7 linked regions of the Oryctolagus cuniculus genome follow. The protein of the gene in region 1 purifies or fractionates together with the protein of each later gene. This does not show direct contact. Links are inferred from orthologs where the notes say so. Each region holds a gene or a part of one and is shown in the gene's direction. Other genes may lie near its edges.

The links.
Region 2: the proteins of CREBBP (region 1) and SP1 purify together in Homo sapiens (affinity purification with western blotting; 5 studies listed by BioGRID, with this or other methods). This does not show direct contact. The link is inferred for Oryctolagus cuniculus from reciprocal best matches to the Homo sapiens genes CREBBP and SP1.
Region 3: the proteins of CREBBP (region 1) and SMARCB1 fractionate together in Homo sapiens (co-fractionation; 3 studies listed by BioGRID, with this or other methods). This does not show direct contact. The link is inferred for Oryctolagus cuniculus from reciprocal best matches to the Homo sapiens genes CREBBP and SMARCB1.
Region 4: the proteins of CREBBP (region 1) and FOXM1 purify together in Homo sapiens (affinity purification with western blotting; 5 studies listed by BioGRID, with this or other methods). This does not show direct contact. The link is inferred for Oryctolagus cuniculus from reciprocal best matches to the Homo sapiens genes CREBBP and FOXM1.
Region 5: the proteins of CREBBP (region 1) and SREBF2 purify together in Homo sapiens (affinity purification with western blotting; 3 studies listed by BioGRID and IntAct, with this or other methods). This does not show direct contact. The link is inferred for Oryctolagus cuniculus from reciprocal best matches to the Homo sapiens genes CREBBP and SREBF2.
Region 6: the proteins of CREBBP (region 1) and IKBKB purify together in Homo sapiens (affinity purification with western blotting; 3 studies listed by BioGRID and IntAct, with this or other methods). This does not show direct contact. The link is inferred for Oryctolagus cuniculus from reciprocal best matches to the Homo sapiens genes CREBBP and IKBKB.
Region 7: the proteins of CREBBP (region 1) and DYRK1A purify together in Homo sapiens (affinity purification with mass spectrometry; 4 studies listed by BioGRID and IntAct, with this or other methods). This does not show direct contact. The link is inferred for Oryctolagus cuniculus from reciprocal best matches to the Homo sapiens genes CREBBP and DYRK1A.

Annotation. Positions count from the first base shown.
Region 1 is NC_091450.1:31,666,297-31,671,113, forward strand, and holds the start of CREBBP (CREB-binding protein), read left to right. Parts: upstream 1-1,613; 5' UTR 1,614-2,377; coding exon 2,378-2,462; intron 2,463-4,817. UniProt on the Homo sapiens protein: Acetylates histones, giving a specific tag for transcriptional activation. Mediates acetylation of histone H3 at 'Lys-18' and 'Lys-27' (H3K18ac and H3K27ac, respectively).
Region 2 is NC_091442.1:56,398,768-56,403,009, forward strand, and holds part of SP1 (transcription factor Sp1), read left to right. Parts: intron 1-409; coding exon 410-578; intron 579-4,242. UniProt on the Homo sapiens protein: Transcription factor that can activate or repress transcription in response to physiological and pathological stimuli.
Region 3 is NC_091452.1:30,759,681-30,763,922, forward strand, and holds part of SMARCB1 (SWI/SNF-related matrix-associated actin-dependent regulator of chromatin subfamily B member 1), read left to right. Parts: intron 1-1,998; coding exon 1,999-2,189; intron 2,190-4,242.
Region 4 is NC_091440.1:106,461,173-106,464,235, forward strand, and holds the end of FOXM1 (forkhead box protein M1), read left to right. Parts: intron 1-187; exon of another isoform or gene 188-264; coding exon 265-1,272; 3' UTR 1,273-2,320; downstream 2,321-3,063. UniProt on the Homo sapiens protein: Transcription factor regulating the expression of cell cycle genes essential for DNA replication and mitosis. Plays a role in the control of cell proliferation. Also plays a role in DNA break repair, participating in the DNA damage checkpoint response.
Region 5 is NC_091442.1:117,803,839-117,808,080, forward strand, and holds part of SREBF2 (sterol regulatory element-binding protein 2), read left to right. Parts: intron 1-670; coding exon 671-852; intron 853-2,871; coding exon 2,872-3,064; intron 3,065-3,506; coding exon 3,507-3,688; intron 3,689-4,242.
Region 6 is NC_091433.1:92,470,252-92,475,232, forward strand, and holds the start of IKBKB (inhibitor of nuclear factor kappa-B kinase subunit beta), read left to right. Parts: upstream 1-1,897; 5' UTR 1,898-2,065; intron 2,066-2,489; 5' UTR 2,490-2,507; coding exon 2,508-2,612; intron 2,613-4,981.
Region 7 is NC_091435.1:7,444,748-7,448,989, reverse strand, and holds part of DYRK1A (dual specificity tyrosine-phosphorylation-regulated kinase 1A), read left to right. Parts: intron 1-734; coding exon 735-859; intron 860-4,242. UniProt on the Homo sapiens protein: Dual-specificity kinase which possesses both serine/threonine and tyrosine kinase activities. Exhibits a substrate preference for proline at position P+1 and arginine at position P-3.

The DNA of each region.
Region 1 (4,817 bases):
CACTTCCCTCCGTTCTTCTGTCAAGGGGCCACAAACGTGCACCACGGCTGCCCAACAGTGTGCAGACGCCTCCTGGCCCGAGAGTCACTTGCTAAGGCTCGCTGGGGCTACATGGCGTCTGCACTGCCCCCAGGTAGGTCCTGGGGAAGGTCCCCTGGGGGCTGGACACCCTGTCCAGTCTGGAGGCCTCCAGGACCCAGGGGATCCGAGAGTGTTTATCCCTCACCCATTCATTCACCAAATTTTACATGGCTACTTGTTGGCCACTGTGCTGTCACTAAGAGAAGGCTTGGCCCACAAGGAGCTCTGGGCCCCACACGCTTCCTGCCTGTTCTGTGCAGACTGACTTCCTGGACAGTCCTCTACAGGAGTTAACTCCCCGAAAGTGCAGGGATACCTGACAGATACCTGATAGATAAACAGATCTAGGGGCTGCCTGGAGGAGGTGACATCTGAACTTGGAGGACCAATTAAAAGTTTAGCCAGGCCTGAGTGTTCCCAGTCCAGGGCAGAGCAGGCCTGATGCTGGCAAACATCTGGTGGCCCGGCGGGTGGCGAGCAGGCCCGAGGGAAGTCCTGCCGGGCTTGCCACCGCCATCTTACGCCCTGCGTGTTTCCACTATGTTCTTTGTAGCGGAATTTGCCAAGTTTTCCACGGACAGGAGGTAGGTAGCTGTTTCAAACAGGATCTTTGCTTCTTCCGGGACGTCCACCAGCGTTCCGTGAGGAGAAGCGAGGATGCTTAGCGGGAACTTGGCCAGGGCAGCCGGCGGACGAGGCGGACAGCACCGGAGCCGCGGGTCCGCGTCCCCAGGGAGGCGAGAGGGCGGGCCGGCGCGGCGCGGTCAGAGCGGCCGGAGCCCCTGAGGGGAGCTCGCCGTCCGTCCGTCCGGGGCACCTGCAGGGGGCGCGCCCCAGAGCCCCGAGGGGAGGCGTCGGCCCTGGGGCTCCGTCGCCTCGGAGTTGGGGAGCGGGGCCCTGGGAGTCCCGTCTGCTGCTTCCCGCCTCGGTGACCTTGGAGAAGTTGCTCGGGCCCTTCCTGCCTCAGTTTCCCCTCTCTGCCGCCGCCCGACGGGCAGCGGGCCGGAGCGTGGTCTGCAACCCGCAGGGCCCAGTCCACACCTCCGGCAGGCGGCGAGAGAAAAGTCGTCCCCGGCCCCCCCTCGCCCGACGGGCAGGGGACGCGAAGAGCCGCTGAGGCGCGGCGGCTTCCCGGCGGGACGGGCGGGACGGGCGGGCCCGCGACCTCACGGCGCACGCTCCCGGAACCCGTGCCCCCGCGGCCCGGCGCAGTCAGAACAAAAAGTGGCGGCTGGGCCCGGCGCCCTCGCGCCCCACAGGCCCGGCCCCCGCCGGCGGCCGGTCGCTCGCTCGCTCGCTCGCTCGCTCGCCCCACGCACGGCCGCCGCGCCTTCGGCCCTTCCGCCCGAGCGCGCTCGGCTCTTTCCGCCGCGGCCGGCGCAGGTGGAGGGGGCGGGGCGGGGGCCGTGCGTGGTGACGCTGCGGGGGGGTGACGCACCGGCGTGCCCCGCCCCCTCCCCCTCCCCGTTCAGGCTCTGGAAAGAGAAGAAAAAAAACTTTCTTTTTTTTTTAATTGAGGAATCAACAGCCGCCATCTTGTCGCGGACCCGACCGGGGCTTCGAGCGCGATCTACTCGGCCCCGCCGGTCCCGGGCCCCACAACCGCCCGCGCACCCCGCTCCGCCCGGCCGGCCCGCTCCGCCCGGCCCTCGGCGCCCGCCCCGGCGGCCCCGCTCGCCTCTCGGCTCGGCCTCCCGGAGCCCGGCGGCGGCGGCGGCGGCAGCGGCGGCGGCGGCGGCGGCGGCGGCGGCGGCACGGGGGTGGGGGGGCCGCGGCGGCGGCGGCGACCCCGCTCGGCGCATTGTTTTTCCTCCCGGCGGCGGCGGCGGCGGCGGCGGCGGGCCGCGGGCGGCGAGCCGAGCCCGGAGCCCCCTCGTCGTCGGGCCGCGAGCGAATTCATTAAGTGGGGCGCGGGGGGGGAGCGAGGCGGCGGCGCGGCACCATGTTCCCGGGGACTGCCTGAGCCGCCCGGCCGGGCGCCGTCGCTGCCAGCCGGGCCCGGGGGGGCGGCCGGGCCGCCTGGGCGCCCCCGCCGCGGAGTGTCGCGCTCGGGAGGCGGGCAGGGGATGAGGGGGCCGCGGCCGGCGGCGGCGGCGGCGGCGGCCGGGGGCGGGCGGTGAGCGCTGCGGGGCGCTGTTGCTGTGGCTGAGATTTGGCCGCCGCCTCCCCCACCCGGCCTCGCTCTCCTCCCCTCGGCGCCCGCCCGCCCGCCGGCCCGCGCTCGCTCGGCGCTCGCTGCTGGCCCGCGGCCGGCCGGGCCCCCGGCCCTGCCGCCCGCCTTCGCGAGCAGGTGAAAATGGCCGAGAACTTGCTGGACGGACCGCCCAACCCCAAACGAGCCAAACTCAGCTCGCCCGGCTTCTCGGCGAATGACAGCACAGGTGAGGAGCGGGCCGGGGGTGTGGGCTCGGCGGGGCGGCGTCCACCCGAGGGCGGCGGACGGAGCCGGGAAGTTCGCGGGCAGCCCGCCTGTCACCGGGCCCGAGGGCGCCGCGCTGGCCCGGGCGCGCCGGGCTCGGCGGAGTTGGCTGCTGTGCCGGCCCGCGACGCAGCCGAGCGGCGCTCGGGATAGGGGGCGCGGGGCGGTGCGGGCGGACGCCCCCCGCGGCCGGCGCGTGGGCGGGGGTCGCGGCCCCTTGCCGCGGTTTCCCCCGGGGCCAGCCGCCCTCTCGGGAGTTAGCACGAAGAAGTTTCGTGGAATGTGTGCCTCGGAAAAACGCGAAGCAGTTATTTTGAAAACTCTTGATCTTTTTTTTCCCTCTCTCTCTCTCTCTCTCTCTGGTGGGTGGGGGCCGCCTTGTCATTCCATTTTTCAAAAACCCGGCCTTCGTTAGGAACGCGTCTGTCATCCGAGCTGCCGTGGCGTGTTTTCACTTACACGCTCAACTTTCAAAGAAAGTTGGCGGATCCTGCGAGTCGTCTGGGCTGCGGCAGCCTCCGCGGGAGCTTTGCTGCTCTCCGGGGTGGGTGCGCGGAGAAGTTGGGTTAAGCCGTGTAGGAATCCCGATGTTTCGGAAGACGTACCAGCAGGATGCTGACTAAGTCACCCACCCACCCGCTATGAAGCAGCTTCCCTGGGAACCCGGGGATCTGCAGGAGCCCGAGAGGTCGCGCGGCTCGCGGGGCGTCCTCCCGGAGCGCCCTCCTGCAGCCGGGCTTGGGAGCGCCGGTTCTCGGCGCGGTCGGTCCAGTGTGGCAGCATCTGAAAACCAGTTTCCGACGAATGGGCGAATGGAATTACACCTGCTGCTCGCAGGCCCCCGGCGGGTGGAAGTCTTCCTGTGACTGGCCACTAGTGTACTGAGGAGCCTGTGCGTGTTCTGGAAACTGAGTTTTGTGGCTTCAGTGTGGAATCCGGTTATGACAGTGGCTTGTAAGTTAGGGAAGGGGTCTAAGACGGTCGGCCTCAGGAGAGTGCCTGGTTAACTTACAGGGTGTTGCCTGGTCCGGGGAGTAGTATGGGGGCTCCCGAAAGTCAGGCAGGGTGCTTTTCTCTTGAACGGCTGGCGGCTGAGCTGGGCTCTGGTTTTAGGAAGGGGACGCACGGGGTGAGAGGTGTGAAGCCGCGCGGTGCACACCCTCCTCTGGGCCCGGCCCTGCAGCCTGCCCGCCCGGTCAGCTCGGAAGCCTCTCCAGTGGCCGCTGGCGTGCGTTTTAGCGCTGCTCTTGTTGGACTTCTGCACGGGGGGGGGGGGGGGGGGACTGAGAGAGACTTGTGCTGCTGTGCACAGAAGGGGCGTGGCCTTTTGGGGTGGCTTCTGTTGCCGGATAGGCCGGGGGATGTGCTGCCAGTCGGACAAAGCTGTTACGGGAAGGGGTTCCCCCAGGTACCCACTGCCTCTCCGTGTCCAGTTTGGGCCCTCGTGAAGCACAGGGCTGCTGAGCTTTTCCAAGTGTGGAACAAAGTCTGTTTTAAAGAATACGAATAATGAAATAACTACTCCAGCTGGGTCGTGAGTTACACGTTTGTCACAGTCACTGGTCTGGACGGGTGTGTTGGTATGGGGACCAAGGACTCAGACGGCTAAACAAGGCACACTTGACAGTAACTCCTAGTCTGGCATCGGGTGCCGAGATGGACATGGATCTTGGTGTCTCTTAAGTAGATAGGTGACTAGGGTATTTACATTCAGTACATTGAAATGATGGGAGAGAGACCTGAGAAAGTAACATTTTTGAGATTTTCAGCCCTATTTTGGTGAGATTTGGGCCGGGTGGTGCAAGCATTGGCCCTGCAAACGTAAGAACCGAGGGAGTGGAATGGCCGGTGTGCCGCGAACCTGAGCACCAGGTCAAGTCTCAGCTGCTCCGCTTCCCATCCTGCTCCTTGCTGTTGTGCCTGGAAGAGCAGAGGAAGATGGCCGGGTGCTTGGGCGCCTGCCACCCACGTCACAGCCCTGGATGGAGTTCCTGGCTCGTGGCTTTGGTCTGGCCCAGCCCTGGCTTTGTGGCCATTTGGGGAGTGAACCAGTACATGAAAGTTCTCTGTCTCTGTAACTCTGATTTTGAAATAAACATATCATTTTTAAACAAATTGAGGGATGGGCGCTGTGTTCTCCAGGGGGACCTGAGGGTTTGGAGAGAGAGGAGAAGGCCGCCTCGGCAGCCTGAGCACCGGGAGCAGCTTGTGAGGTACTGAGGCCAGGGGAGCCGGCCCAGGGCGCGTCCCTGCCTGGAGGTGCCTGGGAGCAGCAGTGGCTGAGAGGAGGAAGCGCTGATGTTGAGGCCCTCACCGG
Region 2 (4,242 bases), on another chromosome or scaffold:
TTGCAATCTAGCTCCCTAGTAATGTGCCTGAGAAAGTAGCAGAGGATGGCCCAAGTGTTTGGGTCCTGCACTCACATGGGAGACCTGGAAGAAGCTCCTGGCTCCTGGCTTTTGCCTGGCCCAGCCCTGGCCATTGCGGCCATTTGGGGAGTGAACCAGCGGTTAGAAGATCTTTGCCTCTTTGTCTGTCTCACCCTCTCTCTTTCTTTCAAGTAAATTATGAGTGACTGATCACATTTTCATATACTTTTTGGCTGTGTGCATTCTTAAAATTTCAGGTTTGAGTACAGTCAGTGGATGTGGCTTTAAAACTTTGAAGACTTGATACTGTATAAATGTATGGTGTCCCTGGAGTGTTTGGTGCTGTGGTGATGTTCACACTTTCCCACTTTGTTCTTTTTAATTTCAGGTGATCATGGAGCTCAGCTTGGCCTCCATGGTGCTGGTGGTGATGGAATACATGATGATACAGCAGGTGGAGAGGAAGGAGAGAACAGCCCAGATCCGCAACCCCAGGCTGGTCGCAGGACACGCCGGGAAGCATGCACCTGTCCCTACTGTAAAGATAGTGAAGGAAGGTGAGTTGCATCTAAAAAAAAAAAAAAAAAGGCTGCGGCGCCGGCACACCGGGTTCTAGTCCCGGTCAGGGCGCTGGTTCTGTCCCGGTTACCCCTCTTCCAGGCCAGCTCTCTGCTGTGGCCAGGGAGTGCAGTGGAGGATGGCCCAAGTGCTTGGGCCCTGCACCCCATGGGAGACCAGGAGAAGTACCTGGCTCCTGGCTTCAGATCAGTGCAGCGCGCCAGCCGCAATGCACTGGCCGTGGTGGCCACTTGGGGGGTTGAACCAACGGAAAAAGGAAGACTTTTCTCTCTGTCTCTCTCTCTCTCACTGTCTAACTCTGCCTGTCAAAAAAATTAAAAAAAAAAAAAGAAAAAAGAAAAGAAGAATGGATTTCAAAGTAAGAGGAAGAGGGTCAATTTTTTCTATTTTAAGACTCAGTAGGGGCCGGCGCCTCTGCTCAATAGGCTAATCCTCCACCTAGCGGCGCCAGCACACCGGGTTCTAGTCCCGGTCGGGACACCAGATTCTGTCCCGGTTGCCCCTCTTCCAGGCCAGCTCTCTGCTGTGGCCAGGGAGTGCAGTGGAGGATGGCCCAAGTGCTTGGGCCCTGCACCCCATGGGAGACCAGGAGAAACACCTGGCTCCTGCCTTCGGATCAGCGCGGTGCGCTGGCCGCAGCGCGCCAGCCGAGGCGGCCATTGGAGGGTGAACCAACGGCAAAAAGGAAGACCTTTCTGTCTGTCTGTCTCTCACTGTCCATCTGCCTTTCCAAAAAAAAAAAAAAAAAAAAAAGTAAGGGGAACAAATTTCATGTATTTCATATATGCAGATTTAACAGCATGATGATACTTCCAACCCTATTGTCCCTCCTTCCCATCTCCACCTTTTTTCTCTTTTCATTTTTACATTATTATCTCATAAGATATTGGGACTTAATAGGTGCCTGCTTTCACCTAGATATCAGAAAATGGCATGGAGCTAGCTTGTTTGACACCAGATGTCTGCTTTGAGATGTGTTTTGTTTTTTTGGGATTTATTTATTAAAATTTTATTTATTTATTTGAGAGGTAGAGTTACAGAGGGAGAGACAGAGAATGGTCTTCCTTCCACTGGTTCACTCCCCAAATAGCTGCAATGGCCGGAGCTGTGCTGATCGAAAGCCAGGAGCCGGGAGCTTCTTTTGTGTCTCCCACGAGGGTTTAGGGGCCCAAGGACTTGGGCCATCTTCTGCTGCTTTCCCAGGCCATAGCAGAGAGTTGGACTGGAAGAGGAACAGCTGGGACTAAAACTGGCGCCCATACGGGATGCTGGGGCAGGTGGAGAATTAACCTACTGCACCACAGCGCTGGCCCCAAGGGATTTATTTATTTGAAAGGCAAAGTTAGAGATCTTCCATCTGTTGGTTCTCCCCATACGGCCTCAACAGTCAAGGCTGGGCCAGGCAGAAGCCAGGAGCCAAGAGATTCATCTGTGTCTCCCATGTGGGTGGCAGGGCCCCAACTGCATGGGCCATCTTCTGCTATTTTCCCAGGAGCATTAACAGGGAGCTGATGTTCAGATGGATCAGAAGTGGAGCAGCCAGGGCTTGAACCAGTGCTGATATGGAATGTTGGTGTCACAGGCAGCAGCTTAACCTGTTGCACCACAGTGCTGGCCCCTCAAGATGGCTTTAACTAGTTTGCTTGCAAAATAACACGGAAAATTGTACCTACTGTAATGATTTGAGTATACAGTTTTCCATAAAAGTAGACAAAAATGCCAGCTCCAGTTAGAGCATCTAGAGTATCCTGCAGATAAGAATTTTAACAAGTTTTATTAGTAGCGCTTGTTATATCATTTTACCTTTGGAGAATTGTAAGTTATTTTTGTTCAAGTCATTATTTCTGAAAAAGAAAAGAAAGTGACTTAGTCTTTTATCCATTTATTTTATTTATTTGAAAGTCAGAGACAGAGTGCTCCTTTTCACTGGTTCACTCCTCAAAGACAGCAGCCAGAGCTTGGCCAGGCTGAAGCCAGGAGTCTGGAACTCAGTCTGGGTCTCCCACGGGAGTGACAGGGACCCAGGTACTTGTAATGACCTGCTTTCCTCCAGAGTACACATTAGCAGGAAGCTGGATCAGAAGAGGAGTGGGGCTGGAATGCAGACAGGAGATGTGAGTGTGCCACACAGCATCTCAGCCACGAGGCCACATACCTGCCCTTGCTTCGTCTTTTCAGTTCCCTTGAAAAATCTTCCAAAACCTTATCCCAATAAAATAAGCACAAAAATAGCAAAGCAAGATTACCAAAACAGAAAAGTAATGTGAATTCTTTGTAGTTTGTCCTGTATTACAGGACAGACAGAATTGAGTGTCCCTGAGTCAAAAGCACCAAATACAGTACCATTTTCTTTAACAAAACTTAAACCAGTGGGCCAGTTTTGTATCACAGCAGGGCAAGCCACTGCTTGTGACAATAGTCTCCTGTATCAGAGTGCCAGTTTGAGTCCTGTCTTCTCCGTTTCTGACCCAGCTTCCTGCTAATGCATCTGGGAAGGCAGAGAAAGATGGTCCAAGTCCTTTGGCCCCTGCCAGCTGTGTAGGAGACCAAGATGGAGTTCCTGGCTACTAGCTTTGGCAGTTGGGTGTTGCAGGCAGTTGGGGAGCGAACTAGCAAATGAAAGATTCTCTTTCTTCTCTCTCTCTGTCTTTCCCTCTTTCAAGTCTCTCTGCCCTTCAGATAAATAAATAAATATTTAAAAAAAACAAAACACTACATCAGCATTGTGTGTACCCAGTAAAGTTGCCACCTGCAATGCCAGCATTCTATATGGGCACTTGTTCGAGTTCCAGCTGCTCCACTTCCATTCCAACTCTCTGCTAATACACCTGGGAAGGCACCGGAAAACGGCCGTTGGGTTGGCACTATGGCATAGAAAGTTAAGCCTCCTCTTATAGAACATCCCACATGGGCATCAAGTCAAGTCCCGGCTGCTCCACTTCCAATACACCTTCCTGCTAATGGGCCTGGGAAACAGCAGAAGATGGCCCAAGTACTTGGGCCCCTGGGCCCACATGCGAGACTTGGAAGAAGCTCCTGGCTGCTGGTTTCGGATTGGCCCGAGTATACTCTGGCTGTTGCGGCCATTTGGGGAGTGACCAATGGATGAAAGATCCCTCTCTCTTTCTAACTTCACTGTTCAAATAAATAAATGTTTAAAAATAAAATAAAAAATGACAACCAAAACTTCACCTTCATACATTTAAAGAAAAAATTTTGGGTCAGTGTTATGGAATAAAGGGAAAAGGTGCCATCTGACATGAGCATCCCATATGGGCGCCGGTTCTAGTCCCTGCTGCTCCTCTTCCAGTCCAGCTCTCTGCTATGGCCTGGGAAAGCAGTGGAAGATGGCCCAAGTCCTTGGGCCCCTGTATCCACATGGTAGACCTGGAAGAGGCACCTGGCTCCTGGCTGCAGATCGGCACAACTCCAGCCATTGCGACCATTTAGGGAGTGAAATAACGGAAGGAAGACCTTTCTCTGTCTCTCCCTCTCGCTGTCTGTAACTCTACCTCTCAAATAAATAAATAAAATATTTTTTATAAAATATTATTTATTTGAAAGGCAGAATTACAGAGAGAAGAAAAACAGAGAGAGAACTTCCATCCACTGGTTCACTTCCCAAATGGCCACAATAGCCAG
Region 3 (4,242 bases), on another chromosome or scaffold:
CTCCACTTGCGGCACTCCAGAGGATGCCCAACTTGCCCTGTAGAGGCCAAGTCCTGCCCTAGCCTTGGGACCCTCCTCAGCCTGGGCCCCAGCCCCTTGCTGCCCTCACCTCCTCCCCTTATCTTCACCCTGGACCTAGCTGGGAGCCACACTTGGCTCCTCAGGCCTTCTCACTCTGTGCCCCTCACAGGCAGCTCCAGGACTGCTTCCTGGGCTCACTCAGTTCTTCCTAAGGCCTCCTGACCACAGAGGCTGGGCCCAACTTCCTGCCCCTCCCTGGCTTCCTTGCCCAGGCTCAGTGAAGTCTGAATGCCCTGTGCCCGTTGACATGCCTTGCTTAGTTTCTGAATGTTTGTCTGTCTGTGCCTCTCCTTGGTAGGTTCACAGTCTTGCTTTTGAATAAATGAATGCCCTAGTGACCAAATGGCAGTGGACAGGCAGCAGAGCCCGCAAGCCTGGGCAGGGATGGCTGCTGGGGATTGGCCACACACCGTGGGCCTGTTGGGTCCTGCCTGGAGTGTTCCTAGGGGCTGCCTGCTACTGCATGTTCTTCCTGGGCCCAGCACCCACGTGGTTGGCCTGGCATATGGTTCCAGGTGGGACGGGGTAGCATCTCTGAGTCTGTTCCAAAAACCCAGCTTAATCCCCAAGTGTGAGTGTGCACAGGGACAGGAGGGCCTTGGGAGTCTGCTGCAGGCCGCCGTGCCCAGCTGTGTGCCCTGCACAGACACCATTCCTCTGCCCCTCAGCCTCCTCTTCTGCCCTGGAGCTGTGGGCGCCATTCATTGTGGCCTGAAACAAAGGCCCTGGGGCTATGCTCAGGATGCCCGGTTTGAGATGGGAAAGAAGTAGACAAAGGACTAAGATCTGTGAAGAAAACAGGTGGACAGTGGGGAGAGGGCTGGTGGGGAGCAGAAGTCTCAGGACTTGGCACCCCAGCCACAGCCAGGAGACTGAAAAGAGGCTGCATATGCCCAGGTGAAGGGAAGAACATTCCGGTAAGCGGAAACTGATGCAAAAGGCTCAGCCGCACAGGACTTCCTGGATGCCGGCAGGAGTTGGATGCTTTGACTTCTCAGAAGGGCAGCAGAAGTCCCCAGGAGGGTTGGGCTATGAGAGCAGTGGCTAGTTCACCATGAGGCTGCCCACCTGCCACCGTGATCTTCGTCTTGCTAGAGACAAGAGTGAGTGGGCAGGTACTCCATGACCTGCTCACCCAGCAGAACACTGGACAGCAGGGGAGGAGCTCACAGATGTGATGCTGAGGGAGTGAAGTCAGTCCCAAGGGGTCCCTCCTGCGTGATCCAGTGATGACCAGTTTCAGAACAGGCACAACTGACCAGGGAGTGGGGAATCAAGGGACATGGGTGTGGGTGGGAGCTCCTGGGTGCCAGCTTCCCACGGACCCACTTCCCAGGTATTCCCCAGGTGTACATGCAGCGCCTGGGCCTCTCTGTCACCTGCCCACAGGGGTCTACTTGCATGCTGCTCTCCCCCTTGGGTCTGGCCTGTCACCTGGCCAGGTTGGCACACGGTGGGGGTACATCTGGGAGCATGCTTGGTGAAATGATTTTGAGAGGGACGTAGACAGTGGACCAAGATAGGGGTTCATGGATGTCTCTGGTGAGGGACACTTGAACTGAGCCCTGCCTGTTAAAGTCACACAACGGTGGCAAGCAGCAGGAAAGAAGGCCCCAGCCAGCATGGGGGATGGGGATGGAGATGAGGTGGACCCAGGTACCCTCAGGGCCTCCCCAAGCATGACTGCCCAGCTCTTACCTAGAGCCCCTCACAGCAGTCAGCAGGTTTATGGGGTCAGCCGTTTGCAGATAGAAAGTTGGAAGGGCAAGGATCAGCTCCAGTTCTCAACTCTTTGAGTTGTGGGTAGGCTCCACCCTGGGTCTGGGGCTCCAGCGTGGTCTGTCACACCTCCCAGCCACCTCCCTGGGCTGGGGGCGGTGCTGCCTGCTCTGACTTCTCTTCTGGTCCCTGCCATAGCTGAACATCCACGTGGGAAACATCTCCCTGGTGGACCAGTTTGAGTGGGACATGTCGGAGAAGGAGAACTCGCCAGAGAAGTTTGCCCTGAAGCTGTGCTCGGAGCTGGGGCTAGGCGGGGAGTTTGTCACCACCATCGCATACAGCATCCGGGGACAGCTGAGCTGGCATCAGAAGACCTACGCCTTCAGGTAGGATCGGGCACAAGCTTCTCTCTCCCTCTCCTGCAAAACCGTTTTGGGGAAAGACTTCTCCAGAAGCGCTGACACCTTGGGACTTTGCCTCGATTCACAGTGTAGGCGGACTCTAGTCTTGGCAGGGCTCCCCCGGCACAGCCACAGAGGTCAGGGATGGGAAGTGCTGAGGGTGCAGACTCGGTGCCCAGTCAGTGTGGCCTTGAAGTTCCCACCCCTTGCAGCCCCTGTCCCAAGTGCTAACTCTGAGCTGCCAAATACAGGCCAGGCCATCCCCAGTCACGAGTGTCAGGAAGGGAGGCAGCTCACCCTGTCCCTGCCTCCAGTGTCAGGCTGGATGCACAGTGGCCATGTGACCAGAACACTCCAGCTCAGGGGCCTGTGGGTCAGGGGAGGCCTTCCGATCCCAGGGAGCTCAGTGAGTGGGGAATGAGAGTGGTTTTTGTCCTCCTCCAGGGCTGCAGGAGCAGGGAGGGGCCTGTGGCATGGACCCCTGGCTCAGAGCGCCTTTCTTGTTGGGAGTGCCTGGGGTGGGGGACGAACGTCAGAACGGGATCTTGGAGTTGAGTCTGCTCAGTTGACTCCTCAGGGGCACCATCCGACAACACAGGGGCTCATCTCAGCTGTTTTCCAGATGTCTGTCTCAGGGCTTCCCGTAAGTCTGAGTGAGGGAGCAGGAACGGAGGCACACCCACCACCCCATGCTAGGCCCCGGGCCTGGAAAGCAGCTGAGCCCCTCGGGGCGCAGTGCCTGGGCACATCCGTCACATCCGTCACCTGCACTGACCCCTCCTGCAGCTGTGCGGGCGAGTGGTTCTGCTTCACCAGGGGCCAGCCCAACGAGCTGAGGAAGCCCACCTATGGGTGCAGCTGGTCAGAGTCTGGGCTGGCTCTGAGGTCCTGGAGGCGGCGACGTCACGCGGGCCCTGGGAGTGACGTCAGTGCCCAGCAAGCACCTCCTCTGCCTGGTGCTAGATGCTGTGAGAGGCGACCTTCTCCTGGGTCTGCAGCAGCTGCCCCGCCACAGTCAGGACTCAGGAGGCAAAGGCCCCGCGGCCTCTTGATCCCAAGCTCCCTGGGATCGGAAGGCCTCCCCTGACCCACAGGCCCCTGAGCTGGAGTGTTCTGGTCACATGGCCACTGTGCATCCAGCCTGACACTGGAGGCAGGGACAGGGTGAGCTGCCTCCCTTCCTGACACTCGTGACTGGGGATGGCCTGGCCTATATTTGGCAGCTGAGTCAGCACTCGGGACAGGTGGTCCTGGCGTCCACCAGCACTCAGCTACTTTCTGCTGTGGCCCCCGGGCGACCCGAGCCATTGGCCTAAATTCCTTGCCAAGCTCCTGTCCATCTGCTCTTCGCAGAGTGGCTCCACAGCAGGCTCCCTTGGGAGTCCCTGGTGGTGGCAGGTTGGGACTTACAGTCAGGCCCATCCTTTATCTCAGTGACCATTTAATGAATTCCAGCTGCGGGGGCTGGAAGCAGCACAGACTCCTGTCCCTCTGCGGTCTCCAGTGCTGAGTTTGCAGGTTTCAAATCCTTGGCCTAAAAGGCCAGGCCACCCTCTTGGGGCCCAGGGCGAGTGCACGTGCCCTGCATCACAGCCAGGCAGGACAGGGACCTGCCCGTGGGCCTGCAAGGTGCTCCCAGTGCCTCCTCTCGCCTCAGGAGGGCTGGCCTGGGTCCTCGCAGTCAACCAAGCACAGGGCCCAGCCTGTTCTGTGTGCTGTGTCTGGGCAGCCAGGAAACTGCCCACGCTTGAAGGGAGCTGGCAATCACAGCCTGGGGACCCTAGGATTGATTGAAGGCCAGCTCATGCTAGACTTCACATTCCAGGGGCAGAACTGGGACCCACTGCAGTGTCCCCTAACCCTGGCCTACACTGTACTGCCCCACCCTGTGGGACTTAGAGCAAGGGACCTCTTAACTGTTTGCCAGGGGAGATCACTGTCAGCCTTCTCTCTACCCTTTAGGTCCTGCCTAGAGGAATGAGAAGGGGGTGCTGAGCCCCCAGGGCCAGGCACTCTCAGCAGGACCAGAGTGTGGCAC
Region 4 (3,063 bases), on another chromosome or scaffold:
TGGATACTGATTATGCCAATACCGTGTTAAATACTGTCTTCTTTGACCCCTGGAACTGAACTGCCTTTAACATGTTGGCTCATCGCTTCTCGGTCTTTTGGCTAAGATCAAGTGTAGCATGTTGGCTCTTCTCGTGTTTAATAAGACTTAAGAAAGACAAGAAAGAGGCTAGGCCCCAGAACCTCACCTGTGTGGTCCTGCTTTTGTGCCCTGCCCGGTGACGGTTGGCCCGCGAGAGCTTCCTTGCCTCTGCTTCCCTTCTAGGTGCTGCTCGCTGATGAGGAGGTCGCCCCCGCTGCCGCTGCAGGGCCCCTGAAAGAGGAGAAGGACCTGCCTGGGGAAGGGCTGTCTCCCCTGCTCCCGGTTCAGTCCATCAAGGAGGAGGAAATCCGGCCAGGGGAGGAGGCACCTCACTTGGCGAGGCCCATCAAAGTGGAGAGCCCGCCCTTGGAGGAGTGGCCCTCCTCGTCCCCGTCTTTCAAAGAGGAGTCATCTCACTCCTGGGAGGATTCGTCCCACTCTCCCACCCCGAGGCCCAAGAAGGCCTACAGCGAGCTCCAGTCCCCGGGCCGGAGTGTCTCGGAAATGCTCGTGATCAAACGAAGGCAGCGGAGGGAGATGAGCCGGTCTCGAAGGAAACAGCACCTGCTGCCCCCCTGCGTGGACGAGCCCGAGCTGCTCTTCTCCGAGGGCCCCAGCACTTGGCGGCGAGCAGAGCTCCCCTTCCTGGCGGAGTCCTCAGAGCCCGCCTCCCAGGAGGAGGCAGGGCCTTTCAAGACCCCCATTAAGGAGACACTGCCCATCTCGTCCACTCCAAGCAAATCTGTCCTCCCCAGAACCCCCGAGTCCTGGAGGCTCACACCCCCAGCCAGGGTTGGGGAGCTGGAGTTCAGCCCTGTACGAACCCCCCAGGGTGCCTTTGGCCCCCTGCCCGACTCCCTGGGGCTGATGGAGCTGAGCACTACCCCGCTGAAAAGCGTTCCTCTCTTTGACTCACCCCGGGAGCTCCTCAATTCAGAACCCTTTGACCTGGCTGCTGACCCCTTTGGCCACTCTCCCCGCTCAGAAATGGAAGCCCCCAAACCAGGCTCCCCAGAGCTGCAGGTTCCCAGCCTTTCAGCCAATCGGTCTCTAACGGAAGGCCTGGTCCTGGACACAATGAATGAGAGCCTCAGCAAGATCCTGCTGGACATCAGCTTCCCTGGCCTGGAGGAGGACCCACTGGGCCCTGACAACATCAACTGGTCTCAGTTCATTCCTGAGCTGCGGTAGAAACCCGACCGTGCCCTGGCCCCTCAAGCTGCCCACCACTGGAGGCACCGCTGTGATAGGGAGACCCAAGGCTTAGTGCACGCCAAGCCCTCTGAGCAAGGACAGCAGGCGGGGATTGATCTCGGCTCCACCTGGCCTGATTCGGCCACGGCGGCAGTCACACCTTAGCCACTGCTGCTGAGACCTCTGCCAGCAGTCGTGCCTTGGGAGCTGCCCTCCGAGCCACTCGTGCCCCCCAAGCCACTCGTGTCCCCCAGGAGCACCTGACTCCCGTCCTCTCCCTGCCAGGAGCAGAAGGGTGGGAAGGACAAAAACCAGGGGGGTGAGAAGAGGGTGAGAACACCACAGCCACGCCCATCCTGTGCCCAGCAGTCTCGCCTTCTCTGCTCCTCACAGGGTGGCTGCTGTGAATAGTGTCAGTTCTCCAAATCGTCCTCTAATTATAGACGTGGGCTTATTTCCTTAGACCGCTGTGTAGAGACTGCCAGGAGAAGGGCGTAGGAAGACGAGGGTTTTCAGTTTGCTTCTGTTCCATGCTTTTGGTTGCTAGAGAAGGGAGGATGTGCGGTGCATGGTTTCTTCCAGGCCCAGGGTACCTGACTCCAGGCTTCATCACCATAGGTGCCCAGACAAGCAGACCTGCCTGCCGGGGGCCCTCTTCCTGCCCCTCCCTCCCACCTCCCCGTGTTTCCAAGTCAGCTTTCCTGCAAGAAGCAATCCTGGTTGAAAAGGTCTTTTGCGATGGTTTTGGAGTTGAATTTTGGGTGGGGGAATGGAGGCATCTGAGGCAAAGGGTGTGGGTACCCAGATAAGCCCCCATGAGATGTTTCTCTGATAATGTCCCTAATCATGCCAGGGAGATGAGCATTGACCAGAACTTGGGCAGAGGGCGTAAGAAGGCTGAGAGAGCCCCTAACGTGCCTGGCTTCCTTAGCTCGCACCTCAGCTTCGCAAAGAGCCACCCTGGGCCCCAGCTGACTGCATGGATGTGAGCCAGCTCAAGAACACTACTGTACCTACCTACTCAATAAAACCCAGGCTGCAAGTGCTGGTCTGTGTGGTCTGTTGGTGCCTGGCCCTTTTGGGGTGCAAAGGGCTGGGAAAGAAGGGGGGTGCTGGCAGGAAAGAAGGGAGGTCATGTGAATCCCTCCCTGCACAGGCACACGTCCTTTCTCACACCGACATTGCTGATTAAAACTTGGGCCTTTGGGGGCTCCTTAGAGAAATCCCGAGAGGAACAGGCCCCCAGAGCCTGAGGGAAGGATAGGCCCAGTTCCAGGTGCCACTGCCAACTGAGGCCTGGAAGGCAGCCTGCCCTGCCTCCCTCCTCCCCACATCTTCCTAGGCAAGTCTGTCCAGAGGCAGCTCTTGTTACCGTCCTCTGCGGTCTGAGTGTATGAGGGGCCAGCGCCGTGGTTCAATAGGTTAATCCTCCGCCTTGCGGCGCCGGCATACCAGGTTCTAGTCCCGGTCGGGGCGCCAGATTCTGTCCTGGTTGCCCGCTCTTCCAGGCCAGCTCTCTGCTGTGGCCCGGGAGTGCAGTGGAGGATGGCCCAAGTGCTTGGGCCCTGCACCCCATGGGAGACCAGGAGAAGCTCCTGGCTCCTGGTTCCTGGCTCCTGGCTTCGGAACAGCACGCCAGCCATGGCGGCCATTGGAGGGTGAACCAACGGCAAAAAGGAAGACCTTTCTCTCGTCTCTCTCTCACTGTCCACTCTGCCTGTAAAAAAAAAAAAAAAAAAAAAAAAAAAAAAAAAAAAGTGTAGGAGGGAAACGTGTCCCCTGCCTGCC
Region 5 (4,242 bases), on another chromosome or scaffold:
GCCCTGGAAACTGGTCACAAGCTGGAGTTTTCTTGGTTTTGAAGCTGTATTTTATTTATTTGAAAGGCAGAGTTACAGAAGAGAGCTTATATCTGCTGGTTCACTCCCTAAATGGGTGCAACAGCCAGGGTCTAGCCAGGCCAAAGCCAAGAGCCTGGAGCTCCATCTGGGTCTCCCCCGAGGGTGCAGGGGCCCGAGCACTTGGGCCGTCTTGTGCTGCTTTTCCAGGTGCATTGGCCGGGAGCTGGATCAGAAGCGGAACAGCCAGGGGTTGAACCAGCGCCCATATGGGATGCAGGAGGCAGCTTACCCCACTGTGCCGCCATGCCAGCTCAACAATTTATTTCTTTATTTGAGAGACAGAGTGACAAAAATGAAGAAAGAGAGATGTTCTGTCCACCAGGTTACTCCGCAAATGGCTACAACAGCCAGGACTGGGCCAGGCCAAAGCCAGTAGCCCAGAATTCCATCCAGGTCTCCCAAGTGGGGGCAGGGACCCAAGCAATTGAGCTATCATCTGCTGCCTCCCAGAACGTGTCAGCAGGAAGCTGAATCGAGAGCGGAGCAGCCAGGACTCAGCACTGGCACTCCGATGTGGGAGGCAGGAACCCAAGGAAGCAGGTGGACCCCTGGGCACCTTGTTCGCCTCTCAGTGGCCTTTTCTTTGCAGAGCTCCTGAAGGGCATCGACCTAGGCAGTCTGGTGGACAGCGACGTGGACCTGAAGATCGATGACTTTAACCAGAATGTCCTCCTGATGTCCCCCCCGGCCTCCGACTCGGGGTCCCAAGCGGGTTTCTCCCCCTACTCCATCGACTCAGAGCCGGGAAGCCCCCTGCTGGATGATGCAAAGGTACAAGTCTGACCCCTGGAAGTCCCCCTCCCCCAGGGCCACAGTGGGGAGGCGGGGAGCCTGGGCCCGGTGGGCGGGCCAAGCGTTCAGAGGGCGTGGGCCGGAGAAGAGCTGGAGTTCTGTGAAATAGCCAGGTCCTGGAGAGCAGAGGGGAACTCCCTCAGGTTTGACTGGTCCCCGCTGAAAGGCCCTTTCAGGAAGCAACGCGTGCCAGATCCAGAGCTGGAGCCCGGAGCGCTGTTCACGGGCACTGGGATTTGCCGGAGGTGCCTTGTGGCTTCCCTGGGCCCGTGGTGGGCCTGGCAAGACCACTACACCAGAGGCAGAGCCACTGGTTTAGGCCAAGGCTGCCTCTTTCTGGAGATGATTCCAGTTTGCAGTCTAACAGGTCACATCGCAACCAAGAGCTTTTAATCCTCAAAGACAGCCTCTGGCGATTGTATCTTAATGGAACTAGTTAAGAGAAGTTCTGAGCCTAATGAGCTTCGGGGAAGCCTGTGGAGACCCCTGGGTTCCACGCAGCATTTTGACGTTGACAATTTGGCTGCAGAAGCAAAGTTGCCTCTGGTGTGTGTTTATTGTAGCAGGCATTCTCCGTTGTCCATGTATTGTACAGATGTGACAGTTTGGCAACAACAGGCCGTGCGGCGTATGAGATGCATTAGCTGAGGTTTCTGAATCATCAGAAGGCATTTTCAGATGGTTTTAGCATTTTTGGAGCCGTGTGCTCTGCACACTCGGGGCTCAGGGAAGATCTGCGCCAGCCTCCCTCCCTCCGCGTGGACTCCCGGGGCTGGTGGGCTCAGCTGTCGTGGAACAGGCAAAATCCTTTAGGCAGGTCCACGCGAAAGTATGGCCTTTAATGCGCTTTACTGAGGTATGACTTCATGCAATAAAAATATATCTTTTTTAAATAGAAATATTTCCTTATTTATTTGAGAGGTAGAGTTACAGAGAGAGAGGAGGAGACAGAGAGAGAGGTCTTCAGTCTGCTGGTTCTCTCCCCAAATGGCTGCAACAACTGGAGCTGGGCTGATCTGAAGCCAGGAGCCAGGAGCTTCTTCCCAGTCTCCTACATGGGTGCAGGGACCCAAGCACTTGGGCCGTCTTCCGCAGCTTTCCCAGGCCATAGCAGAGAGCTGGATCAGAAGAGGAGCAGCCAAGACACGAACCAGTGCCCATATGGGATGCCAGTGCCTCAGGCAGAGGCTTAGCCTACTTTGCCACAGTGCCGGCCCCAAAATATATCTTTTTTTATTGTTCTTTCTAAAGATTGATTTATTTATTTGAAAGGCAGAGAAACAGAGAGACAGATCTTCCATCTGCTGCTTCATTCTCCAAATAGCCTCAATGACTGGGGCCGGGCCAGGCCAAAGCCAGGAGCTTCTTCCAGGTCTCCCATGTGGGTACAGGGACCCAAGCACTTGGACCTTCCTAGGTGCATTCGCAGAGAGCTAGATCGGAAGTGGAACAGCTGGGACTTGAACCAGTGCCTCTATGGGATGCCGGTGCGGGAGATGGCAAATCTACCCACTATGCCACAGTGCCGGCTCACCATCTACAGTCCTGGGAGTTTTCCAGACATGCGCAGCCACGTAACTATCAGCACAATGAAGATGCAGACATTTGAATTGCCTCTGGAAGCCCTGGCACACCTGGCAGGTGGCTCCCACACGTTGGCCCCCAGCCCCAGGCAGCCACGGTCCACTGGCCATCTGGCCCTTTAGATTCTCCTTCCCTGTCCTGGAATCGCGCAGGAGCAGAACCATCCAGTGTCCTGTTGGGACTGAGCTCTACCCCAAAGAAAATCGCTTCCGCTCCCGCTGTCGGGAGCATGGTCTCTTCTCGGCCCACCGAGGGAGAGCACACCGTGTGTGAGCAGCGCTGTGTGAACTGGGCTTCCCGGTTCGCTCCTGGCTGTTTCCTGTCTTCCCTGGTGGTCTGTTTCCTGGCGTGTATACGAGGAAACTGCCGCGAACCCCCACAGGACGCATGCCCACCTCCCGGCCCTGTTTGCAGGTCAAAGATGAGCCGGACTCCCCCCCTGTGGCGCTGGGCATGGTGGACCGCTCCCGCATCCTGCTGTGCGTCCTCACCTTCCTGGGCCTCTCCTTTAACCCCCTGACCTCGCTGCTGCAGTGGGGCGGGGCCCACGACACCGACCAGCACCCGTCCTCCGGCTCCAGCCGCAGCGTCCTCTCCTTGGAGTCAGGTAGGCTGGCTGGGCAGCCGTGGCGGGAGGACTGCGCGCAGACCGTTCGCTCCCCTGGTAGATCCCAGGTGCTGTTGCGGCCCCCTCTGCTTGCTGCCTACAGGGACTGCCCAAGTCCCGTTTTAGAAGTAAAAGGCAGACGCACGTTCAGGTGGAGAGGACAGAAAAATGAGGAACCTGCCATGCAGGAGTTCCTGGGAGGGGGCGGGGGAGGGGGAGTGTGCCTGTCTGCAGGGGGAGGGGTGGTGCGTCTCGGCTGAGTTGGAAAGCCAGCGTCCTGATCCTCTGGGGCTAGCAGAGATGCGTGTGGAGCTCAGTGTGGCGGTGACAGGGCTACAGGAGTGCCGTGTAGACCATGGGCCGCCGTGGGGCAGAGGCTCTGGCATTCACTCCGGGGTCCGTGGGGCCCTTGCTGAGTGCACCCCCACCCCGCCACGCCCAGGTCCCACAGGCTGGCTTGACTGGGTGATGCCGACGCTGCTGCTGTGGCTGGTCAATGGGGTCATCGTCCTGAGCGTCTTCGTGAAGCTGCTGGTCCACGGGGAGCCGGTGATCCGGCCACACTCGCGCTCCTCCGTCACCTTTTGGAGGCACCGGAGGCAGGCGGACCTGGACCTCTCCAGGGTGAGTGCTGTCCACCCTCAGCTTCCTCCACAGGCTCCCTAAGAACTCGGCAACCTGTGTGGAGTCCGGTGTGGGTGGGTCCTGTGGGAAGGGCTGTGGTACAGATGGCAGGGGCCCTGCTCCTGGCAGGGGTGGACGGTGGGTGATCTCCCATCCGTGCTGTGCCATGGGAGGAATCAGGTGCCGTGGCGGGTGGAGGCAGTGCAGCCGCCTTCTCAACGGGGGGATCTGAGGCTTGGCAGAGCGCTTGGGGCAGGCAGAAAGGTGGGCGTGGCAGGAGGGCCTTCCAAGCCAGGGCTGGGGACCGTAGTTTGTGCTAAGGGCCATCTGGGTATTCGTAGCATCATCTGGGAACTATACAAAACTTTGAGCTCAGACATCAGCCTGCTGTAGATGTATTGAATTTCCAGTCCCACCTGCGCTTGCCTCGCCTGGACCAGACCACGTGAATCCATGGCCTTCCCCGGCCCGTAGCCCTCAAGGGCTGTGTGGTGGACGGGTCCGGGGTGTGGGGGACAGCGGCCGGTGTGCGGCCCACGTTGGAGGGACCTCAC
Region 6 (4,981 bases), on another chromosome or scaffold:
TGGCTGAAAAATGGGGCTGAAGATGATAAACATCTTGGAACATGATAAAATCCAGAGACCCTTTCCTGGCCATCATTGATTTATCTGCTGGTTCACTTCCCAGATCCAAAACACACCACAACGTAGTGACATGAGGCCTTATCAGACAGATTTATGTTCAGTTGAAAAATCAAGTATTTTAGCTGAGCAAAATAAGAACTCTTTTTTTCTTCTTTGAAATTTATTTATAGAAGGTGAACAAATGTCACATATTTCAACCAAGAAATCATAAACAGCAGTGGCACAGTACTATCAGTGGATGCCTCGTAAATTTCTCCGGGACAGGAATTTCAGAGAACTGTTTCCCCAACATCACCCAGGAAACAGACTCTATGAGTGCCCAGCACACATAGGTGCTCAATAAACGTTTTTCTTCAAAATTGTGTTTATTAAAGAAACACATTACATCTAGGTCACGCCAGGCACAGTTCCACGTTTTTGACCACTGTTTACCCATGGTTCTTTTTCATCCTGACCGTGCCTGCCTCAGCCCTGAGCACACCTGTTCCTAAGACTTGGCGTCGATCTCTGGATGGGAGGCACCTCTGACCAGGACCCCTGTGTTGCTCCTTGGGCATCTCCTGTCTGACCTGTGTGCCTTCCTGTCCTCCCACTGTGAGGCCAAACCAGATGGAAACTGCTGCTCTTGGTGGCTCGCATTTCCACTGTTCCCGATTCCTAGAAAAGGATGATTTCATGCGATTTAACCTCCATTTTGAGAAGAGATGTATGTTTACACATCAGAGGTGGGCAGTTAACTGTCTGGACTCCAAATGCAGTCTGCCTTCTTGGCTTCTTAGCACACAGCCTAGTATCATCAGTGAGACCTGGGAACCAGCTGCTTGGGTTCGTGTATCAGTGGCTCTGTGGCTGCGGCATGGAAGACTTTTTCTACGCTGAGCTTGTTTTCCCACCTGCAAAATGGGATGGCAATAATGTGGTATTGTGCAATTGGTAAGGCTGCCAAAGCGTTGAGTAAAAAAATGTTTAAGAACAGAGTTTAGGGCCGTGCCTGGAGTTGTGAATATTATCCTCCTCAGGTGTCCTTTATTTATTTATTTATTTATTTGAAAGTCAGAGTTACAGAGAGAGGGGAGAGGCAGAGACGGGGGTGGGGTGTGGAGGGGACAGAGAGAGGTCTTCCATCTGCTGGTTCACTGCCCAGACGTCTGCAACAGCCGAAGCTGCGCCGATCTGGAGCCAAGAGCCAGGAGCTTCTTCCTGGTCTCCTACGCAGGTGCAGGGGCCCAAGGACTCGGGCCATCTTCCACTGCTTCCCCAGGCCACAGCAGAGCTGGATGGGAAGTGGAGCAGCCGGGTCTCAAACCCGCTGTGCCAGGCCCCCTCAGGTCTCCTTTAATACGTTTTTCCTGCTTGAGTAAAATACATGCACACCGTCTCCTCACAACAGTGAGAAGCAGATGAGAGAGGAGCGCGGGCTGAGGGCCTCTCCCCCATTTCCCCAGTCAGGACGCTGAACCTCGGGTTTAGGCGCACGCTGGGGCCAAAAGCATTTCCCTTCCTTTCCTGTGCGCGCTGCGTCACTTCTGAGGACCCCGCGCCAGGCCCGGGACGGCGCTCCCGGTAAACAGTCGTGCTGGCGGCGGGCGCGGGAAGTTTCCCGGTGACTCCCCGGTGAAAGCCCGGGAGCGCCGCGGGGGGGGCTTCCGTTTCAGGGCTGCGCTCGCCCCCCCCGGAGAGCACACTCGGCCCAGCACCCTCCAGAGTCGTCCGGGCCTTCCAAACAACCGCCCCCCGCCCCACAGCTGGGGTTCCCGCGCTACAGGCCTCAGGAGCAGGCCCGGCTCGCGCGACCGCGGCAGGGCGCGGCCCCTTTAAGCGCGGCCACGTGGTCCGTGACGTCAGGTCAGGAAGTGTTTGAGGAAGTGGCGCTGGGCTGGCTGGTTTAAGGTTCCCGCATTTTCATGTCTTCGGTGGGGGGGTGTCAGAGCCCCCCGTGTGGTCCCCCGGCCCCCGCGTCCCCAGCCCCGGGAGCCTGGCCCCCGCCCCGCGTCCCCGCCGACAGGTGAGTCCCGCGGGCGGCGCAGGCCCCGGCCCCCCACAGACCCCAGGTCCGCGTGGGTGCTCGCTCGGGGGCTCCCCGCCTGTCTCCCCACGGAGGCCCCGAGGAACCCCGGCGTGGGCGGGCAGTAGCGGTTCGCGGCGCGCACGCGCCGTGCCGCTGCGGGTGGGGGTCGCCGAGCCCAGGCGCACGGGCGGCCGGGCTGGCTGCGGACACGCGTGACCGCTTGGCGCGCGTGGCCGCCGTCCGGGGAGTGGCCCTGGGGGTGGAGCATCGTCTCCCTGGGGTGACTTGGGGGGTGGGGAAGACCCCAGACAGCGCGACCGACCTTACGACCCGGTTTCTGGACACAAATGAAAATCAGTTCAGCTGCTCGGTTTCGCACTTTAACCTTTTGTGCCCCGACTCCACCCCAAATTCCTTACAGACTTAACAGGACGTCAGCATGAGCTGGTCGCCTTCGCTGCCAACCCAGACCTGCGGGGCCTGGGAAATGAAAGAACGCCTGGGAACTGGGGGCTTCGGAAACGTCATCCGCTGGCACAATCAGGTAGGGCTCCCGCAGCCTCGGCTCCTCCCTGCTCGCACGGCTGGGGCCTCCCCTTGGCCTGGCCTTCCGGAGGGAGTGAGAAGGGGCAGTGGCCAAGCTCAGCGGACCCATCTAGACTTTGATCCCTGGGCCGTGTTGACCGTGCCTCCTAAAGAAGTATATATTCAGTTCTGGAGCTATGCTGAGGTTAGGATATTGTCTACCAGCACACCATGTACCGGTGTGTTCCATATTCTAAAACATACAGAGAAAATTTTTAAGGATGAAAATAATCAAATATTTACTTATTTACATTTGTATTTCTAAAGATTTATTTATTTATTTGGAAGGCAGAGTTACAGGGAGAGGTAGAGAGAGAGAGAGAGAGAGAGAGAGAGAGAGACGGGTCTTCCATCTGCTGGTTCACTCCCCAAATGGCTGCAATGGCCAGAGCTGGGCCGATCTGAAGCCAGGAGCTGGGGGCTTCTTCCAGATCTCCCATGCAGGTGCAGGGGCCCAAGGACTTGGGCCATCTTCTACCTGCTTTTCCAGGCCGTAGCAGAGAGTTGGATTGGAAGAGGAGCAGCCGGGCCTGGAACTGGTGGCCATATGGGATGCTGGCGCTGTAGGCAGTAGCTTTACCTGCTATGCCACAGCGATGGCCCCTCAAGTATTTATTATTGAAAAATTTATAATACTTAAAGTATTTGATAATTATGTCTTCCCACTGTTGCTAAGCACTGTACAGCACAAAACACACAGATTTGCATGACAGTGAGAACTATCACATTGTTAATGAGTGAAAATTTTGTATTTCGATGACTTTTACAGCTTGGAGTTGTTTGGGTTGACTTCTTTTTAGATCTGGGTAGAGTCTCATCGACTTTACCCCTCAGGTGTCTGGCTGAGCTTCTCACGGGGCCAGTGTCAGTTCTGTCACATGTGCAGGAAGTACATGCACTGAAGCTCTCCTCAGGACTCGAAGCCCATGTTTGTTGGGTGAGCGTCGCATTCATAAATTGAGTAATGCATTCCCTAATTCTGCCTGAGAGGGGCACAGGTGACCTGCACAGATCTCCACAGGCCCCGGGCCACCCCAGCCTTGTGGGATGCCCACTTTCCTCAGTCCCAGAGGGCCACATGGTGCTGCTCTGAGAGGGTTGCTGTGCAGTTAGTACTAGAAAAGCTTAATTTATTTTTTATGTTTGTGGATCCCAATTTGTAGGAGCCCTCAGTTACCAAATAGCTACAGTGAGCTCCCCACCACTGCAGTCCTGGAAGGGGATTTAATGCAAAAGTGGCTTTCTGCACTAAAGGGATGGCAGATTGCAAACCCCCCCTTTTTTTTTCAAGATTTATTTTTATTTATTTAAAAGACAGAGTTACAGAGAGAGGTAGACAGAGAGAGAGAGGTCTTCCATCCGCTGGTTCACTCCCCAATTGGCTGCAACGGCTGGAACTGTGCCGATCCAAAGCCAGGAGCCAGGAGCTTCTTCCGGGTCTCCCACAGGGGTGCAGGAGCCCAAGGACTTGGGCCATCTTCTACTGCTTTCCCTGGCCACAGCAGAGAGCTGGACTGGAAGAGGAGCAGCTGGGACTAGAACAGGCACCCATATGGGATGCCGGCGCTTCAAGCCAGGGCTTTAACCTGCTGCACTACAGCGCCCGCCCCAGATTGCAAACCCTTTTTGGGAGCCTGGCTGCAGCATGCAGAAAGGGTCATGGAGGCTGGCCATATCCAGGTCGCTCCAGGCAGACATGGAGGACAGTTCTGAGTGCTGTCGGTTCCACGAGGATGGAAGGACCCCGGAGGAAGGAGACTGCGGGCCTGGGTGGTAGGCTTCTCACAGCCAGCTTGGAAACTGGGATTCCCGCAAACCTATGACTGGGGAGGCCTCAGAAATGTAACCGTCTTAAACTCGTCCTGGTCACAGGACAGCCAGGGTCAGATTCTTCTCTGGCCTCCCTGTACCGGCCTGGGCTGCTTCTAGACGGCTTAGTTCAGAACTGGAAACAGCCTGAATTCCTTCAAAACAGCGTTCCATGCAGGCGTACCATGTGCCTGTCATCTCCGGCTCAGAACGGCCTCCCTGTGCCGCCTGCTGGGAAAGCTGCTGCCACATGGGGTTTGTTTCCGGCCTTGATTAGGGCCCAGGAATGTGTGTGGGGGTTAGTGCTCCCAGTTACCACCATGCAGGTCTTCCCTTGTTGTAAAGCCTTAGTTGTCCGTAAGACCGACTCCTCCAGAGTCCAGCGTCGCTGCTGGCTCCCGCGGGCTGGTCTGCTGAGCACTCCTGTGGGACAAGCCCCTCTCCTCAGAGCCTTCGCATGAATTCTGCTCATCTCTCCAGGAGCAGCGCTAGACCACTTCCTCTGTGAGCCCGTCACGA
Region 7 (4,242 bases), on another chromosome or scaffold:
TTGTATGTTCCTGTTAGCAGGAGGCTGGTGTGGAGAACAGAGCGGGGTTTGCACTCTGACACTCTGATACGGGATGCAGGTACCCCACGGGATGGCTTAACCACCGTATCGAATGCTCATTCCTGAATTCTTTTTCTAATGAAATTGTTTTATTCACATCCTTTAATTTTCCTGTAATTGAAACCAAACTTGATTGTATTTTGATTCACTGGATTTTTTTCAGAGATTTATTTTATTTATTTGAAAGAATTACAGAGTGATCCATCTGCTGGTTCACTCCTTTAATGGCCACAACAGCTGGACTGGGCCAGATCAAAACTAGGAGCCTGGAACTCCATCCGGGTCTCCCTCATGCGTGGCCGGGGTCCAGGTACCTGGGCCATCTTATGCTGCTTTCCCAGGTGCGTTAGCAGGGAATTGGATTGGAAATGTAGCAGCTGGGACTGGAAGTGGCTCTCCTGTATGATGCTAGTGTTGCAGCTAACTACTTAACATGCTGTGCCACAATGCTGGCCCTGGCTCAGTGGTTGATTTGGGAGAACTTAGAGAAACTGATGACTTTACGATATACTTTAAAGTTAATATTTAAATTTTTTAATTATAAAAAATTTTTGATTGGCAGTCACTGTACCTATTTGTGTAGTGTGATAATTTGATACATGTATACTATATGCACTGCTCAAGTGTGCTTTGAGTTTTAAAGTCACAAGTTGCTTTGTGTCGTGGTGTTGAAGGTGGATCATCGGGGACGAGCAACAGTGGGCGAGCCAGGTCGGATCCAACACATCAGCACCGGCACAGCGGGGGCCACTTCACGGCCGCCGTCCAGGCCATGGACTGCGAGACACACAGTCCCCAGGTAAGCTCTCACGTCGCCCGCGTTGGACGCAGAGGCTCTAGAATGACTCCCTCATGTGCCCCTGTTTGTCTTGTGGAATCTGGCTCTTGCAGCGCCTCTCCTGTGAAGGGCTGGCTGGTGCTGTTGGGTGTGCACCTGTTGTCCCGCATGCTTTCTTCCTGTGTTCACCTATTTACTGTCTCAGCGACGTCTGAGACTGCCTGGGTTAGGTGACTTTCCCTGATCCCCATCTTAACTACTACCCCTCTGCCTTCCAGGGCCTGGTACTCGTCATACTCCTGGATTCTGAGTCTGTGTGATAAGATTTTAGCCCATGTTTTTGTCTATGCTTTTTAAACCTTTTAAAGAAGTAATGTTTAAAATTGGGGTGAGGAGGCAGATGGTGATGGTGAAAATATTTAAATACTCCTGTAAAGTAGTAAGTTAGTTCCCCCTGAGCCTTGCTCTGTGACATGGGAGGCCAGCCTGTAGTTCCGGTCACTGCCCACTCCCCAGACTCGGGCTGAAAGTGCTGGCACAGCCGGGAGGCTCCCAGGACGCCTCCAGTCACCATCTCTCTTCCTGCCTCTTAGCAGTCCTTGCTCCCCTTGCCTGGAGAGGGAGCTCTGCCTCCGTGTGTGCACTCGACCACATTTCTCCCTCACCCTCCCCAGCGCTGGGGCGGGCCTCCTGCTCCCCTGTCGCCCGGGCTTTCTTGGGACTGTGCTCTTGGTCACCCTCTCTACCCTGTTCTTGGCCTCTCCCTCTTATTTCCTGTTGATCAACATTTGATGAAACCCGGTCTCTGCCATCTTGAGCAGAACCTCTGTCTGACTGCCTGTCTCTCTGACTCTGCCTTCGGCCACTGTCGTCTCCGTCTCCTCACCGGCTAAGGTCTGCCACATTAGTGTCCTGCCTCCTGCCCCACTGCCACCCTTGAGTCCAGTGGACGCCTAATGCCATCTAATGTTTTGCTTCCTGGCCATGTTGGATGCTGTTGACTTCTCCCTGTCCTCTGAGGGCCACCTCTGGTTTCCATGGCAGAATGTCCACTACCCCCACTTCTCCGCCCTCTGCTTCACTGACCCGGCTTGTAGCATCTCCTCTCCTGTTCCCCTGGACACCTGGCGTTTCTGGAGGTCCAGCCTGTGACCCGCCCCTTCTGATGACTGCAGTCACCACCACGTCTGTGATTCCTAATCTGCTTCTGGCCGAGATTTCTTCCCTGAGCCCCAGTGCCTTTATTTCTGAGTTTTTAAAGATTTATGTATCTTCATTTTACTTGAAAGGCAGAGAGACAATGAGACATGACAAGAGCTGTTCCACTCGCTGGTTCACTCCCCAAATGCCTGCAGTGGCCGGAGCAGAGCCAGGCCAAAGCCAGGTACTTGGGCCATCTTATGTTAGCACTCCATCTGGGTCTCAGACTCACGTGGGTGGTAGGCCCTGAGTGTTTGGCTTTTCTGCCTCTCATACCCTCTCTAGCATTCTGCTGAGTCGTCGTACACCCAGTTCCGTTGGCCTGTACCACCACTCTCACCCCTGCAGCCGAGTGAGGCTGACCGAGCAGACTGAGCTCACTGTTCTCTCTGCGTTGAACCACTCTTCGCCTTCCCCTTGCACCTAAAATGCAGCTCAGACCTCTTGCCAAGGTGCCCAGGAGTCCACGCCCTGGGCCCATGCAGGCTGCTCCTCCTCCTTCCCACTGCACTCACACTGCTGCTTGTGTGCCGCGTGTCACGGCTCTTCCTCTGCTGCCTGGGCCAGGTCTCGGCCTGGGTGCTCTGTGCTGCTCAGTCTTCTGCTCTAGGTCTTGACTTAGCATCGCTCCTGCCAGGGACTCCCCTGATTCTCCATCCTTCCCCCTTCTCAGTACAGCGAAGACGGAGACACCAGGAGCACCCACCCGTGTGCCTCCCACTCCTTCATTGCTCAGTGTCTGGACGGTTGATGCAGTCATGGTGAAAGGCAGTCAGTTTTATGGAGGACTCCATGAAGTTGGCCTTTGTTCCATGTCCTCTAGCCACCCAACTCTAATAAAAACTAACATTAATTAGGGTTTTGTAGCCATTTTTGGTATCTCTTATGCATACACCAGCAAGTATGATTGTCACCCAGTTTCTGTACACAAATAGTAACACACCATACACTCCTTTTAACATCTTAGTTTGTCCACATTTGATAATATATTTTGGAGCTCTTTTTTATTTTTTTAAATATTTATGTAATTATTTGAAGGAGGGAGTTCTTCCATCTGCTGGTTCAGATGCCTGCAATGGTCAGGGCCAGGCCAGGCCAGGCGAAAACCAGGAGTTTAATCTGGGTGTCCCACGTGGGTGGCAGGGGCCTAAGGACTTGGGCTATTTTCTAGTGCTTGCGCAGGTGCAGTAGCAGGGAGCTGGATTGGAAATGGAACAGCCAGGACTCGAGCTGGCGCCCGTGAGGGTCTGGCGCCCTGGAGCCCTTCTTTGTCAGTAAGAGACAGGTGCTGCAGCCTTCAGAGGGCTGGGGGCGGAGTTGCAGGGTTCTACACTGTTTAGATATTCTCTAGGTCGTGCTGCTGTTTCCCTGTTACTGAATATTTATTTCATTTCCAATATTTTTTTACTATTATAAATAATGGTGCAATCATCCAGAGTATCTCAGTTCTGGGAGACTCAAAAAATTCATGGAAACTGCCTGCCCCGAGAAAAGCATGCATGGATTTCAAAAATCATCTTTTCATTTCGTTTTCCATGAACACAAAAGACCTCTCCATAGAGGCACACGTGTAAGTGCCCTGTGGTGGGGATTGCCGGGTCAGGGGTAGTGTCAGCTCCAGGAGTCGATGCCGAGTTGCCTCCCACGTGATCGCCCATTCAGCGACTGGAACGGCTGCAGCGTTTAACGTCCTTGGCAGTGGTTCTCCCATGTACCTATGGTGAACTGTGGCCCAAAAATCTAAAATGGAAAATTACTGAAACGGTGTGTAAGTTTGAGATTCTGCAGCATTCTGAGTCGTGTGCCGGACTCTCGCCAGCCTGTCTGGGACCTGTGTCATTGTCTCCTGGCCGCATCCGTGCCCCGGGTGCTGCCTGTTCGTGAGTCCCTCGGTAGGCATCTTAGTGTGACAGGTGCCACTCAAATGTGGTGCCTGTGTTCAGGCAACCCTGGTTTTACTTAGTAACGACCCCAAAGCTTGGGATTGGGTGCTGCCAATTCAGAGACGCCAAGGAAAACCGTAAGCGCCACCTTCAATGAGCAGGTCAATGTACACCAAGCTATTTGGAGAGAGCCCTTATTCACGTAACTTTCACTACACTGTGTTGTGTATTCTGTTACTGTTGGTTACTAGCGATCTCTTACTGCACCAAGTATACTGTCTAAGCTCAAGTATCACACAGGGCGGTGCTGTGAGAAAAAGC